Callithrix jacchus: one gene and its partners. The protein of the gene in region 1 interacts with the protein of each later gene in a pairwise test. Links are inferred from orthologs where the notes say so. Each region holds a gene or a part of one and is shown in the gene's direction. Other genes may lie near its edges.

Region 1 (3,500 bases):
CTCTGTTAATAAATAAATAAATAAATAGTGTATAGCATGTGGAGATGCTGATCAAAGGATACAAAATTTCAGTCGGGAGGAATAAGTCAAGAGATCTGTTGTTAAAGGGGTGATTTATAGTTTTTTGTTTGTTTTTCTGAGACAGAGTCTTCCTCTGTCACCCAGGCAGGAGTGCACTGCTGCGATCTTGGCTCACTTCAAATTCTGCCTCCGGGTTCAACTCTTGTGCCTCAGCCTCCTGAGTAGCTGGGACCACAGGCGTGTACCACCATGCCTGGCTAATTTTTGTATTTTAAGTAGAGATGGGGCTTCACTACATTAGTCAGGCTGGTCTCAGAACTCCTGGCCTCAAGTTATCCATGCTCCTCGGCCTCCAAAAGTGCTGGGATTACAGGTGTGAGTCACCATGCCCAGCCTGATTATAGTTAATAAAAATAAGGCCGGGTGCAGTGGCTCACACCTATAATCCCAGCACTTTGGGAGGCCGAGGCAGGTGGATCATGAGGTCAAGAGATTGAGACCATCCTGGTTAACATGGTGAAACCCCGTCTCTACTAAAAATACAAAAAAATTAGCTGGGCATGGTGGCACATGCCTGTAGTCCCAGCTACTCAGGAGGCTGAGGCAGGAGAATTGCCTGAACCCAGGAGGTGGAGGTTGCGGTGAGCCAAGATCGCGCCATTGCACTCCAGCCTGGGTAACAAGAGTGAAACTCTGTCTCAAAAATAAAATAAAATAAAAATATCTTGTGGGCTGGGTGCAGTGGCTCACACCTGTAATCCCAGCACTTTGGGAGGCTGACGTGGGTAGAGCACGAGGTCAAGAGATTGAGACCATCCTGGCTAACATGGTGAAACCCTTGTCTCTACTAAAAATATAAAAATTAGCTGGGCATGGTGGCTCATGCCTGTAGTCCCAGCTACTCAGGAGGCTGAGGCAGGAGAATTGCTTGAACCTGGGAGGCAGAGGTTGCAGTGAGCCAAGATCACACCACTGCACTCCAACCTGGTAGCAGAGCGTCTCAAAAAAAGAAAAAAATCTTGTATTCTTAAAAATCAGTGAGAGTAGATTTTGTGATGTCACCACAAAAAGTGATAAGTATATGATATAATGCATATGTTAATTAGCTAGTTTAGCCATTCCCTAGTGTATAAATATTTCAAAAAATCATGTTGTGCATGGTGAATATATGCAGTTTTTATTTGGCAATTAAAATTTTTTTAAAAAGCATGGCATGTGACAAAATCTGTTATAGTACAATCTCTAAATGAATAAGTGATCACTGGGATGAGGATGTGCACTGAGTGCCAGGATGTTTGAGGGCAATATGTTTCTGGATCAGGTGAGACTGAGCTGGAAATATTTCAGGTATTCTCAGACAGTAAGCTATTGGGTTCTATTTGTGTTGCAGAGGTTTGTCCCAGGTCTTGGCTGCTGGACTGAGGAAGGTATCAGTTTAACTAGCTCCCACAAGGGAATCTATCATTTTTTTGACCATTTTGAGAACTGTCTTTATCCTTCAGAAAAGCCATATTGTATCAGATTTACAACATATAAAACAATAAGATAATTCAGAAAATTTTAAATTGCCCATGATGTTATCACCCTGTTTATTTAACATTAGCATGAGAGTCAGGTAAGACTTTATAAATTTTAACTTATTTAATCATCGTAACAACTCTGTGAAGTAGATACCATTATTACTGTATTTGACAGTTGAGTACTCTTGAGTTACAGAGAAGTTAAGTAACTTGTCCAAGGTTACACAGCGTGTGGCAGAATTGAAACTTTAGCACAGGCTGACTCCAGCATGCATGCTGTTATCTACTCTACTCTAAAGTCTCTCATATGGTATTTGGTGGCCTCAAGGTCATGGTTAACATTTTAGCAGATTTTCTTCCATTTGCTATCCTGGCTTTTGAATTTTTGGTAAGACTATAAAATCTTAGAGTTTTTACTTGTTTTTTATTTTTATTTTTTTCCCTGAGATTGGTCTCACTCTGTCACCCAGGCTGGCGTACACTGGTGGGATCATAGCTCCAACACCTAGGCTCAAGCCATCTTCCTGCTTTGGTCTCCCGAGGAGCTGGGATTATAGGCGTACATGCCCATACCTGGCTAATATTTTTTTTTTTTTTGAGAGAGACGGGGTCTCACTATGTTGACCAGCCTGCTTTTGAAATTCATTGATGATAGCAACAAGGTAGAGAGGCTGCCTCAGAGAAATTGTAAGTCATTTGTCTCCCCATTTCCTTCCCTCTAGGTGCTGTGAGAAGCCATCTTTCTGAATTCAAAAAACACCGAGCTGCTAGAATTGACCACTATGTTGTGGAAGTCAATAAATTAATAATCAGGTTAGAGAAGGTAAATTTTGTAGTCTTAAAACATTTTTTTCTGTAAATACACATTTTCTGGGGAAAAATAATCACATTTCTATAGCATGTGTTGTAGATGTCATATACATCTGATGCTGCCAGAGAAACCCCTTCTCTAGAGAGTTGCAGAGGACCTGGTGTACAGTTCTAGCCTGGGCCAGCTTTCCTTAACAGAATGACCCAGGCTGACAGACTTGCCACATGCTCAGCTTCCCTTTCACCACCTATAAATCCCACTCAGATGCTGGAAAACCTTTCTTCCTTCAGATTCTTCTTTTGAGTGTCCCGGGCACAATCACCTAGTGAAGTGTGGGGTGTGATCGCAAACAAAGGAGTGGTGACCAGGTCTCAGTGGTGTATTTTGATCCTAGATATGCTTGTTGTGTGTAACCTGGATTTTGAGCTGGGCATAGTAGCAACCACAAGTACAGTTCTTTATGTGTACTTTGTAAGGCAGAAATAAGTGGCCAGTTTTAGGGTCTAGGAGCACTGTGGAGAATGGAGAGTTTTCCATTGCTTTTAATTGCTGCCCCTACCCATCCTTGCCTAGCCCTGGTTATTGCTAAAATTGGTAACTGACAATAAAGAGATTAGAAGTGGGTCACAGGAAGGGAGGTGGCTTCTAGATGCAAAACTGATATTCTGTCCCACGTGAAATTGTTTTTGTGATTTTGTGGAGTTGGGGATGACAGATGAGATTTGAGAAATCCAAATGTGCCAATTCCTACTCGAGGTATTGGAAAGTGTGGAGCATGTATACATCACCTGGTTAATTTCACTTGGCACTATTTTCTCTTGGTCAGCTCACTGCATTTGACAGAACAAATACTGAGTCTGCAAAGATTAGAGGTAACTTTAAAACTTTGCTCACATTCTTCTTATCCTTTATCTTTTTTCCCTGACCAAATCTCTCTTTAAAATGGCTTTTTTGTTGGTTTGCTCTTCCCAAAGCAATAGAAAAGTCTGTGGTGCCTTGGGTCAACGACCAGGATGTCCCTTTCTGTCCAGACTGTGGGAATAAGTTCAGCATCCGGAACCGCCGCCACCATTGTCGCCTCTGTGGGTCTATTATGTGCAAGAAGTGTATGGAGCTCATCAGCCTTCCCTTGGCAAGTAGGTGACCTG
Region 2 (4,043 bases), on another chromosome or scaffold:
ACTGAAGAATAAAACACTGGCGTGGGGGTGACGCCGTTTCTGAGATAAAAGGAAAATACTTGAACCCTCCATCAATCTGCCCTGAACTCAGGCAGACAGGCAGAAAGTGAAACAGCAGAGAAACCACATGTGAAATGGTTCATTCACATTTTAGGAAACTTTCCCACCAAACTGCCTTACTCAGAAAACACAAAAGAAAAAAATATTGCGACATTTTCAGTCTGGAGCATGACAAGATAAGGAAGCTGCCTGGAAGCTGCCTGAAAACTCCATGAAATTGGGGGAACTAATTCCAGGCCACTTGAGCCTCACCAGGGTGGCAGAGATCCCTTCTTCAGTCCTTTAAGCTCTTTGGAGACAGTCAAGTGGCCACACAGAATAACAGGGTCTAGGATTCGTTTATAAATAACCCGGGAACATTTTGTTGTTTTCAGTCTTCTGGGGCTGGGTTTTCCCAGCACACAGGGCTCTGGGGAGATGTGAAAAACGTCCCTCAATGTGATGCTGCCGGCGCGCCACTTTGGAGCAGCCTCATTCAGACCACTGAACAACTACTTCATTCAGGATCCTCGGCCCTAGGCCCTTCCCGAGATCAGCCCAGAAACTGCATCTCCGGGGTGGATCCCTAATAGTGCTGAGTAGGAGGCAAACCCTCTGGCTTCTAAGGCTGACTCAGGAAGTGTGGACCGGGCCTGCCGGAGGCTCCTCATCACCAGTTGGCACGCAGCCTCAGTAGCTTTTGTGCTTTACTATGATGAAAAGAATGCTAATTTGAATCTCAAATCAAATAAAAGCAGTAAATTGGGGCCTAAGATTGCAGGAGGAGCTGGGGTTACTTATCTGCTCTCCAATGGTTAGGGAGAGGGCAGGGCAAGGGAACTAACATTATCTATTCCCTGGGAAGGGATCTTACAAGAAGTGGGTGAACAAACCTCCCATCATGTCCTCTCCAGATTCCATCCGACTCAGCTCCCCTGAAATATCCCGTTCTCAGATTGGAATTCCTGCCACTTCCTCTTAGCCTACCAGCCTGAGTTATTCCGATATAGGCCCCTAGCTCTCCAGGCTTCCACATCTCCCAGAAGCCAGAAAGTTGGACCCGAGGCTTTCAAGGTTGCAGGTTCAATTCAGATCTCTTCAAGAGCCCTCAGGGTCCTGCTCCCCAACCTTGGAGTCTTGATACCTACAGTTACATAACAATCAGCCCCCAAAGCTCTGACATCACCCACTGAAGATTCTCACCAGTCTGGCCAGCCGAAAGGGTCTGCGTGTGGCCGGGGAGGATGGCAGGGGAGTGAGCCCCATGGGACAGCCAGGAACTGGTAAGGGGAGGTAGGGCACAGGTTCAGTAAAAGATGGTAAATGGTGGTGACCCCGGGGGGAAAGCGGAAGTATTTGGGTTTTTAAATTTTCCCCTAAGTTCCCACAAAATTTCATTGTTGCCCCCAAACTCCCCCTCTTCACCACATAGGGAATTTCCGATTTCACTTCCCTAAATGCAAGTGGTCAGAGGGCCTCAACTTCCTCCTTATGGCCTCCTGTTTTGCCCCAGCTGTCACCTCTGTAGTGAAGCCTTCTCTTCTCCCGCGCGCGTCCGGAGTCACGCATGTCCTCCCCAGCTTGTGTCCCTCTCCCACTCCCACCACGTCGGCCCGAGGGGAGGTCAGGCCTCACGCTGCCGGTCAGTTTGCCCGTGTGCCCCCTTCTCCCTGCCCATTTTTCTTTCCTCTGTCACCACCCCGCCCGGGATTCTCTACTCCCTCAGCTTGCTCTGCTACCTCTATCCTGTTTCTCCCTCTCCCAAAACAGATAAAAGATGAGGGGACAAAGACAGTGTGTGTCTGAGAAGCGGGGCTGAGAGGAGGTGGTGCGGCGGCCCGGGGGTCCTGCGATGCCTCGGGGGATTCTGAGTCAGCGGGAGGAGGACGGGCACGTGGGGAACGGCGGGCGAGGCGCATAGTCAGGGAACCGGAATGCCTGACTGGGTGTCTCGTGGAGCCATCCCTCGGGGTGTGGGTGTCCACGGTACCGGAAGGTGCGCAGGCCAGAGACCTTCTCGCGCCGGACGCCGTCTACTCCCGGCCTTCCCAACCACAGCACCTCCACGAGCCTCCCCCACGAGGGGCAGGGCGAAACAGGTGCGGTTGCCACGGCACCCGAACCACGGTCTCGCGAGATTCGGAATAAACCAATGGGAGGCAGGGGAGGGGAGGACGTGGCACGAGGCTAAGGGGCGGGGCCAGAGGGGTTCCTCCCTAACTCTCCCAATTCCGCCCCGCCCTCGCCGCGGCGGCTCCCGTGGCCACTTAGGGACCGATCCTATAAAGGCCGCTCCGCAAGGGGCGCGCTCCACTCGGCAGAGGGCGCCTCGGCGGTTGTGCGCCTGCCCAGTGTGGGTCGCTCCCCGCCCCCTGTCCCGGCCGGCCCCGCCTTGGCTCTGCGCCCTCTCCCGGCTCTCAGCCGCTGCTCTGCCCTGCAGCAGCCAGCCCCGTGTCCGGCAGCATGTTCAGCTGGGTCAGCAAGGATGCCCGCCGCAAGAAGGAGCCGGAGCTCTTCCAGACGGTGGCCGAGGGGCTGCGGCAGCTGTACGCGCAGAAGCTGCTGCCCCTGGAGGAGCACTACCGCTTCCACGAGTTCCACTCGCCCGCGCTGGAGGACGCTGACTTCGACAACAAGCCCATGGTGCTCCTGGTGGGCCAGTACAGCACTGGCAAGACCACCTTCATCCGGCACCTGATCGAGCAGGACTTCCCGGGGATGCGCATCGGGCCCGAGCCCACCACCGACTCCTTCATCGCCGTCATGCACGGCCCCACCGAGGGCGTGGTGCCGGGTAACGCGCTCGTGGTGGACCCGCGGCGCCCCTTCCGCAAGCTCAACGCCTTCGGCAACGCTTTCCTCAACAGGTACCCACCCATCACTCCAGGGGGGTGGGGCGCGGCCCGGGCCAGCCCTCACTCAGAGCCGGACCCTGCCGTGGCTGTCACCCCCGCCGTTCTTTGTCTACGAGGCCCCAGTGAGACCCTCAGTGACCACTCCCTGGCCCAAGGGCCCTGCCGCTTCCCAGAGAAAACCCATCTGGGGTTTAGGAGTGGGCGTTGCCAGCTCCCCCAGCTTCTGTCTTCCCCAGAATCTTCCAGGTTAACCACCAAGCCCTCCCACAAATCCCAGCCCCACTCCCCTCAGAACCAGGACTGAACCATTCCTGCGCTCTCTTTCTTGGTCTTCACCTCCTTCCCGCAGACTGGATGCACTTGGTTCAGGCACATCAACCCTTCCCTCCTTGTCTTCTTAAGTGTCATAGCAAAACACAATGAAACTTTTACCCAGTCCCTTCGCTGGGGCGGTGTGGCTCTGCTCTGCCTCCCCTGGGACTGTGGTTTTGTGTAGGAGGGAGGAGGAGAATCTGCTGTGGCTTGCTGACTTTGGGACAGCCCCTTGGAGGGGACAGTTGAGGTTTGAACGCTTCTCCCAAAGGCAGTTCTCAAGCGGTCAGTGCTGCCTTAAAGGGTTTTGGGAAGCAGGAGGAGGTGGTGGTGCTGGGGTCCTGCGATGAGATTCTAGCCCTGAGCCCTTCTGTGGACTGAGGGACAGAATCTGAGCTGCTTTCACCCACTTGGACCTCTCTCTCCCAGTTAAGTGGCCTCTGCATGTGATGAGAGTGATCCCCAAGCCTCTGCCTCTCTCAGTGCTGTGAATGAAACAGTGGCCTCCCGTCTAAGGAGTGCAATGCCCAGGCTCACTTTTCTCCAAAGGAACTCGAGGCATCCTGGTCCCCACCCCCAGGCGACATACCAAAATACTTCCCAAACCCTGCCCTCCCTGCCACCCCACATTCTACGACTCCTGCATGCCTTTCAGAGTCTGCAGTCTGCACCAGGGAAGAGCCCCGAAGGAATCTTTGAATCTTGCCTTCCAAGTCCCCGCCCTGTGGGATCACATTCCTTTCCAGAGGCCATCCAGCCGTGCAGGGCACCTTGCCCTAGAGCCAAGCCGGTGGCCAGGACTGCTCCATGCACAGAGCTGACCTTCAGCGTGGTCTG
Region 3 (4,144 bases), on another chromosome or scaffold:
ATCTGCCATGAAGGTTAAATAAAACAATGTTCACTAAGAACTTAGCCCTACACATGCTGAGCATTTTGTTGATGTAACAATGATTAGTAAGTATTGTTACTGGTTTCCCATCTCCAGCAAAGCCTTTCAGGCTTGACCTCCCTCACTCTCTTCCACCTTCCTAAACCCTACACTCCAGCTACGCCAAACTGTTTGCTCTGACTTGGACACACCAAGTTCTCCCATATTCCTCAAGCCTTTGCAAATGCTCCTTACTCTTCTAGAATAATGAATGTCAATTCATAATTTAGGATCCAGCTTACAGTCATGCTTTCTGTGAAGCCTTCCTTAAATCAGCCACAAAAAAGGAGTGACTCCTCCCTGTGTTCCCATGGCCCTCTGCTCATGCCTCCTCTTTAAAGTCTGCCTTCACTGGAATTCCCAGAAGAGAGTCTGCCCAGCACTCATCTCTGTATCCACAGTCTCCAAAATTGTATCTGCCCTATAATAAATGCCCAATACGGGCCGGGCGCGGTGGCTCACGCCTGTAATCCCAGCAATTTGGGAGGCCGAGGCGGGTGGATCACGAGGTCAAGAGATTGAGACCATCCTGGTCAGCATGGTGAAACCCCGTCTCTACTAAAAATACAAAAAATTAGCTGGGCACGGTGGCGCGTGCCTGTAATCCCAGCTACTTAGGAGGCTGAGGCAGGAGAATTGCCTGAACCCAGGAGGCGGAGGTTGCGGTGAGCCGAGATCACGCCATTGCACTCCAACCTGGGTAAGAGGAGCGAAACTCCATCTCAAAAAAAAAATAAATAAATAAATACCCAATACTTGCAGGGATTTTGCTTGCTGGCTTGTTTCGTTTTGCTGGGATAAATGAATAAATAAATGGGAACGATTTGGACTTCACACTAGGCTTAGTTAAAAGTTTGGGTAGTGACAGTTCTGTTTATTTTGTGTAACCTGATAGTGGATCCTTCTTTCCATGCCTCCCCCCAAAAAAAATCCGCAAATACTAGAGTACCTGTTTTCCTAGGGAATTGGCATCAGCATCAGCAACTGAAGGAGAGGGGATTCAAAGCAGGGAGGGTGATGACTAGGTCAACTCAGTCTTCGCAGCCGTCCCTGAGAGGGCGCTGTTCCCAAATCGAAGCCCCAGAGGCGGGGACTGAGACCCGGGCGCTCTCCCACTGGACTGGGTCAGCATCCCTCACCAGGCGCGGACGCAGGTCTGGAGCGGAGCGCCTGCCCACAAACATGGCGGCGCCCTGAGCTGCTTCCCGTCGCCTGGACCGTGGGGCCAGAGCGGCCTTGCCAGTACTCGTGGACTTCCTCTGCGCGCCGGCTTCCTGCCCAGCTGGCATTTAAACCAGCGCCTGGGGCTGCAGGATGCTGCTGCGGATGCGGAGCTGTCCGCGGGCTGGGCAGCGTCGCCGCCTCCCCTGAGCCGCCTCAGTCCTGCAGGAGCGGAGCCAAAGCACCCCTTGCTGCACGCAGAGCAGAGCAGGCGAGGGCTGGGGGCCGATCGGGAACCCCGGCTTCGGACCCCGTCATCTGGCAGTTTCCTTGCAGGTTCGACTTTAATTTCCAAGACTGCACCCACTCCTCCTCCAGCCCAGATAATTTATCCTCCCTCCCGCCTGGGCTGCTGGACGCAGCAGTGGCTGGGCTTGGTCCCAGGAACAGTGAAAGAGTGCACTCCCAGCCCCGCTAGCCGCGTGCCCGGGCCATGGTGCGGCTGAGCCCGGCGCTTGGGTGAGACGGCGGGGCGGCTCAGAGCCCGGCCGACCGGCCTTGAGAGGCATCTTCCCCTGAGGAGGAGCCTTCCCCTAGGGCTGCGTGCCGCGGGCGAGCGGCGGCCGCGATGTTCAGCTGGCTGGGTACTGACGACCGCCGGAGGAAGGACCCTGAGGTCTTCCAGACGGTGAGCGAGGGGCTCAAGAAACTCTACAAGAGCAAGCTGCTGCCCTTGGAAGAGCATTACCGCTTCCACGAATTCCACTCGCCCGCCCTGGAGGATGCCGACTTCGACAACAAGCCCATGGTTCTGCTGGTGGGCCAGTACTCCACGGGGAAGACCACCTTCATCAGGTGAGCAGGCCCAGGGTCCGGCAGCCCACCCCGGTCAGTGTCCAGTGCCTAGTCCCTCCGGTCACTCCTAGTGCTCCACCCCTGCCAGGGGACCAATGGGAAGACTTCAGTTGAGGGCTCTGAAGAGATGTGTTTGTGAAGGCGTCAAAAGCTTACCCCACAATTTTTGTTGGTCTCTCTCCCCAACTTATCCAATGCCTGTCCACTGTACTTGACCCTTGGGCTCTAGTGGTCAACCTGAGGTACTAGAGTGTAAAGCCATTTCTGGTCTCCCCATCTTATGGATGATGAAACCGAGGCCCAGGAGGCACCGTGGGGGAGCTCCTGGTCTCTGGAGCACCTTATGTTGATGGGGATATCTCACGTCTTCACTTTTTAGGGACATGTTATTCACCGGCAAAACCTCTTCCCTTTCTTTTCAAGGGACTTGGCACTCACATGGGGGCCTCACGGTTGCAGCTGAGCTCTGACGGGAGCAGGCCTGGGAACGGAGGTGGCCCGGGGATGCTACCTGTCCTCCTTTTATCATTTTCTTCTCTAAAGCAGAGCTTCTATGTGTGTATCTTGGAAACGCAACAGAAGCAGAGTCCAGAAGCAGAATGCTGTCTTTTTCCTTTCTCTTATTTGCTCTTAATGACTCAATAATAATATTAAAGTCTCTTAGAGGTGGAAGGGATATTGGCATTGTCTCATCTAGTTCCTGACTTTGCAGGTGAGATAACTGAGGCACAGGGAAGTTAAATGAATTGTTCAGAGCAGTAGAAAGAGTGGGCAGCAGACCTGGGATGCAAGTCCCAGATGCATGTGAGGAGTTGGTTGGCTCAACGCCTGTAACTCTGAGAGTGAGTCATCCATTCCCTTAAATTACAGAATCCTTGGGCTGGAGGGAGCCTCAAGAAGTCAATTTGTTCGCCCTGCATTCAGAGAGGTCTGCAAGAGTAATGAGAATCCTTCCTATCTTTAGAGAACAGGCTTCTCTCTGGTCCTCAATCCTCCCAACCTTCAAGACCAGCCATTTTTCTTGGCCTCTTTTACAGCCATTCCAAACTATTGAGAGTGCTGTGGCCCTCTGTCTTAAGAGTCAGGCACCCACAGCCTGAGAATGGAGTTTGGTGGCCCCTCAAAGTCAAGCATGCTCATCTGCAGAGGACTTGGAAAGCAGGGGTACTCTTGTTCCTATTCATTGGTTCTTTGAGAGTCTGCAACATGCAAAATGCTGTGCTTTGTTTGGTGAGAAGAGCAGAAAAGTTAACAGTCTAGTTACTAACTGTCTAGGTGCTAATTTTCTCTAACATCAACCTTGTAATGCAAGCCTTCTGGAAGTAGCACCATGACGATAGGTCACGTCTCAACACAACACCACATTGAGTTTGTCCTTGTGGAGTGCACAGCCTAGGGCTCAGCAGCTTTGAGAGACCAAGTGATTTCTTTTTTTTTTTTGAGGCAGGGTTTTGCTCTTGTTTCCCAGGCTGGAGTGCAATGGCGCAACCTCGGCTCACCGCAACCTCCGCCTCCTGGGTTCAGGCAATTCTCCTGCCTCAGCCTCCTGAGTAGCTGGGATTACAGGCACGCGCCACCATGCCCAGCTAATTTTTTGTATCTTTAGTAGAGACGGGGTTTCACCATGTTGACCTGGATGGTCTCGATCTCTTGACCTCGTGATCCATCCGCCTTGGTCTCCCAAAGTGCTGGGATTACAGGCTTGAGCCACCGCGCCCGGCCTCTTTTTTTTTTAAACAATCTTCTCCTGTTGCCCAGGCTGGAGTGCAGTGGCGCGATCACAGCTCACTGCAACCTCTGCCTCCCGGGTTCAAGCGATTCTCCTGCCTCAGCCTCCCAAGTAGCTGGGATCACTGGTGCCCACCACCATGCCTGGCTAATTTTTTGTATCTTTAGTAGAGACAGGGTTTCACCATGTTGGTCAGGCTGATCTCCAACTCCTGACCCCATGATCTGCCCACCTCAGCATCCCAAAGTGCTGGGATTACAGGTATGAGCCACCGCACCCAAGAAGCCAAGTAATTTCTGAAGGTGTTCAAGATCTGGAGGTGAAGGGCCTGTTGGCTCT

The links. The genes of interacting proteins can lie anywhere in the genome.
Region 2: the proteins of RBSN (region 1) and EHD1 interact in binary tests that used the Homo sapiens proteins (3 or more experiments, as listed by UniProt). The link is inferred for Callithrix jacchus from reciprocal best matches to the Homo sapiens genes RBSN and EHD1.
Region 3: the proteins of RBSN (region 1) and EHD3 interact in binary tests that used the Homo sapiens proteins (3 or more experiments, as listed by UniProt). The link is inferred for Callithrix jacchus from reciprocal best matches to the Homo sapiens genes RBSN and EHD3.

Annotation. Positions count from the first base shown.
Region 1 is NC_133516.1:72,070,009-72,073,508, reverse strand, and holds part of RBSN (rabenosyn-5), read left to right. Parts: intron 1-2,263; coding exon 2,264-2,364; intron 2,365-3,178; coding exon 3,179-3,224; intron 3,225-3,326; coding exon 3,327-3,488; intron 3,489-3,500. UniProt on the Homo sapiens protein: Rab4/Rab5 effector protein acting in early endocytic membrane fusion and membrane trafficking of recycling endosomes. Required for endosome fusion either homotypically or with clathrin coated vesicles.
Region 2 is NC_133511.1:121,949,503-121,953,545, reverse strand, and holds the start of EHD1 (EH domain-containing protein 1), read left to right. Parts: upstream 1-1,243; 5' UTR 1,244-1,303; coding exon 1,304-1,322; intron 1,323-1,552; coding exon 1,553-1,681; intron 1,682-2,479; coding exon 2,480-2,906; intron 2,907-4,043. UniProt on the Homo sapiens protein: ATP- and membrane-binding protein that controls membrane reorganization/tubulation upon ATP hydrolysis. In vitro causes vesiculation of endocytic membranes. Acts in early endocytic membrane fusion and membrane trafficking of recycling endosomes.
Region 3 is NC_133515.1:84,254,451-84,258,594, forward strand, and holds the start of EHD3 (EH domain-containing protein 3), read left to right. Parts: upstream 1-1,344; 5' UTR 1,345-1,849; coding exon 1,850-2,076; intron 2,077-4,144. UniProt on the Homo sapiens protein: ATP- and membrane-binding protein that controls membrane reorganization/tubulation upon ATP hydrolysis. In vitro causes tubulation of endocytic membranes. Binding to phosphatidic acid induces its membrane tubulation activity.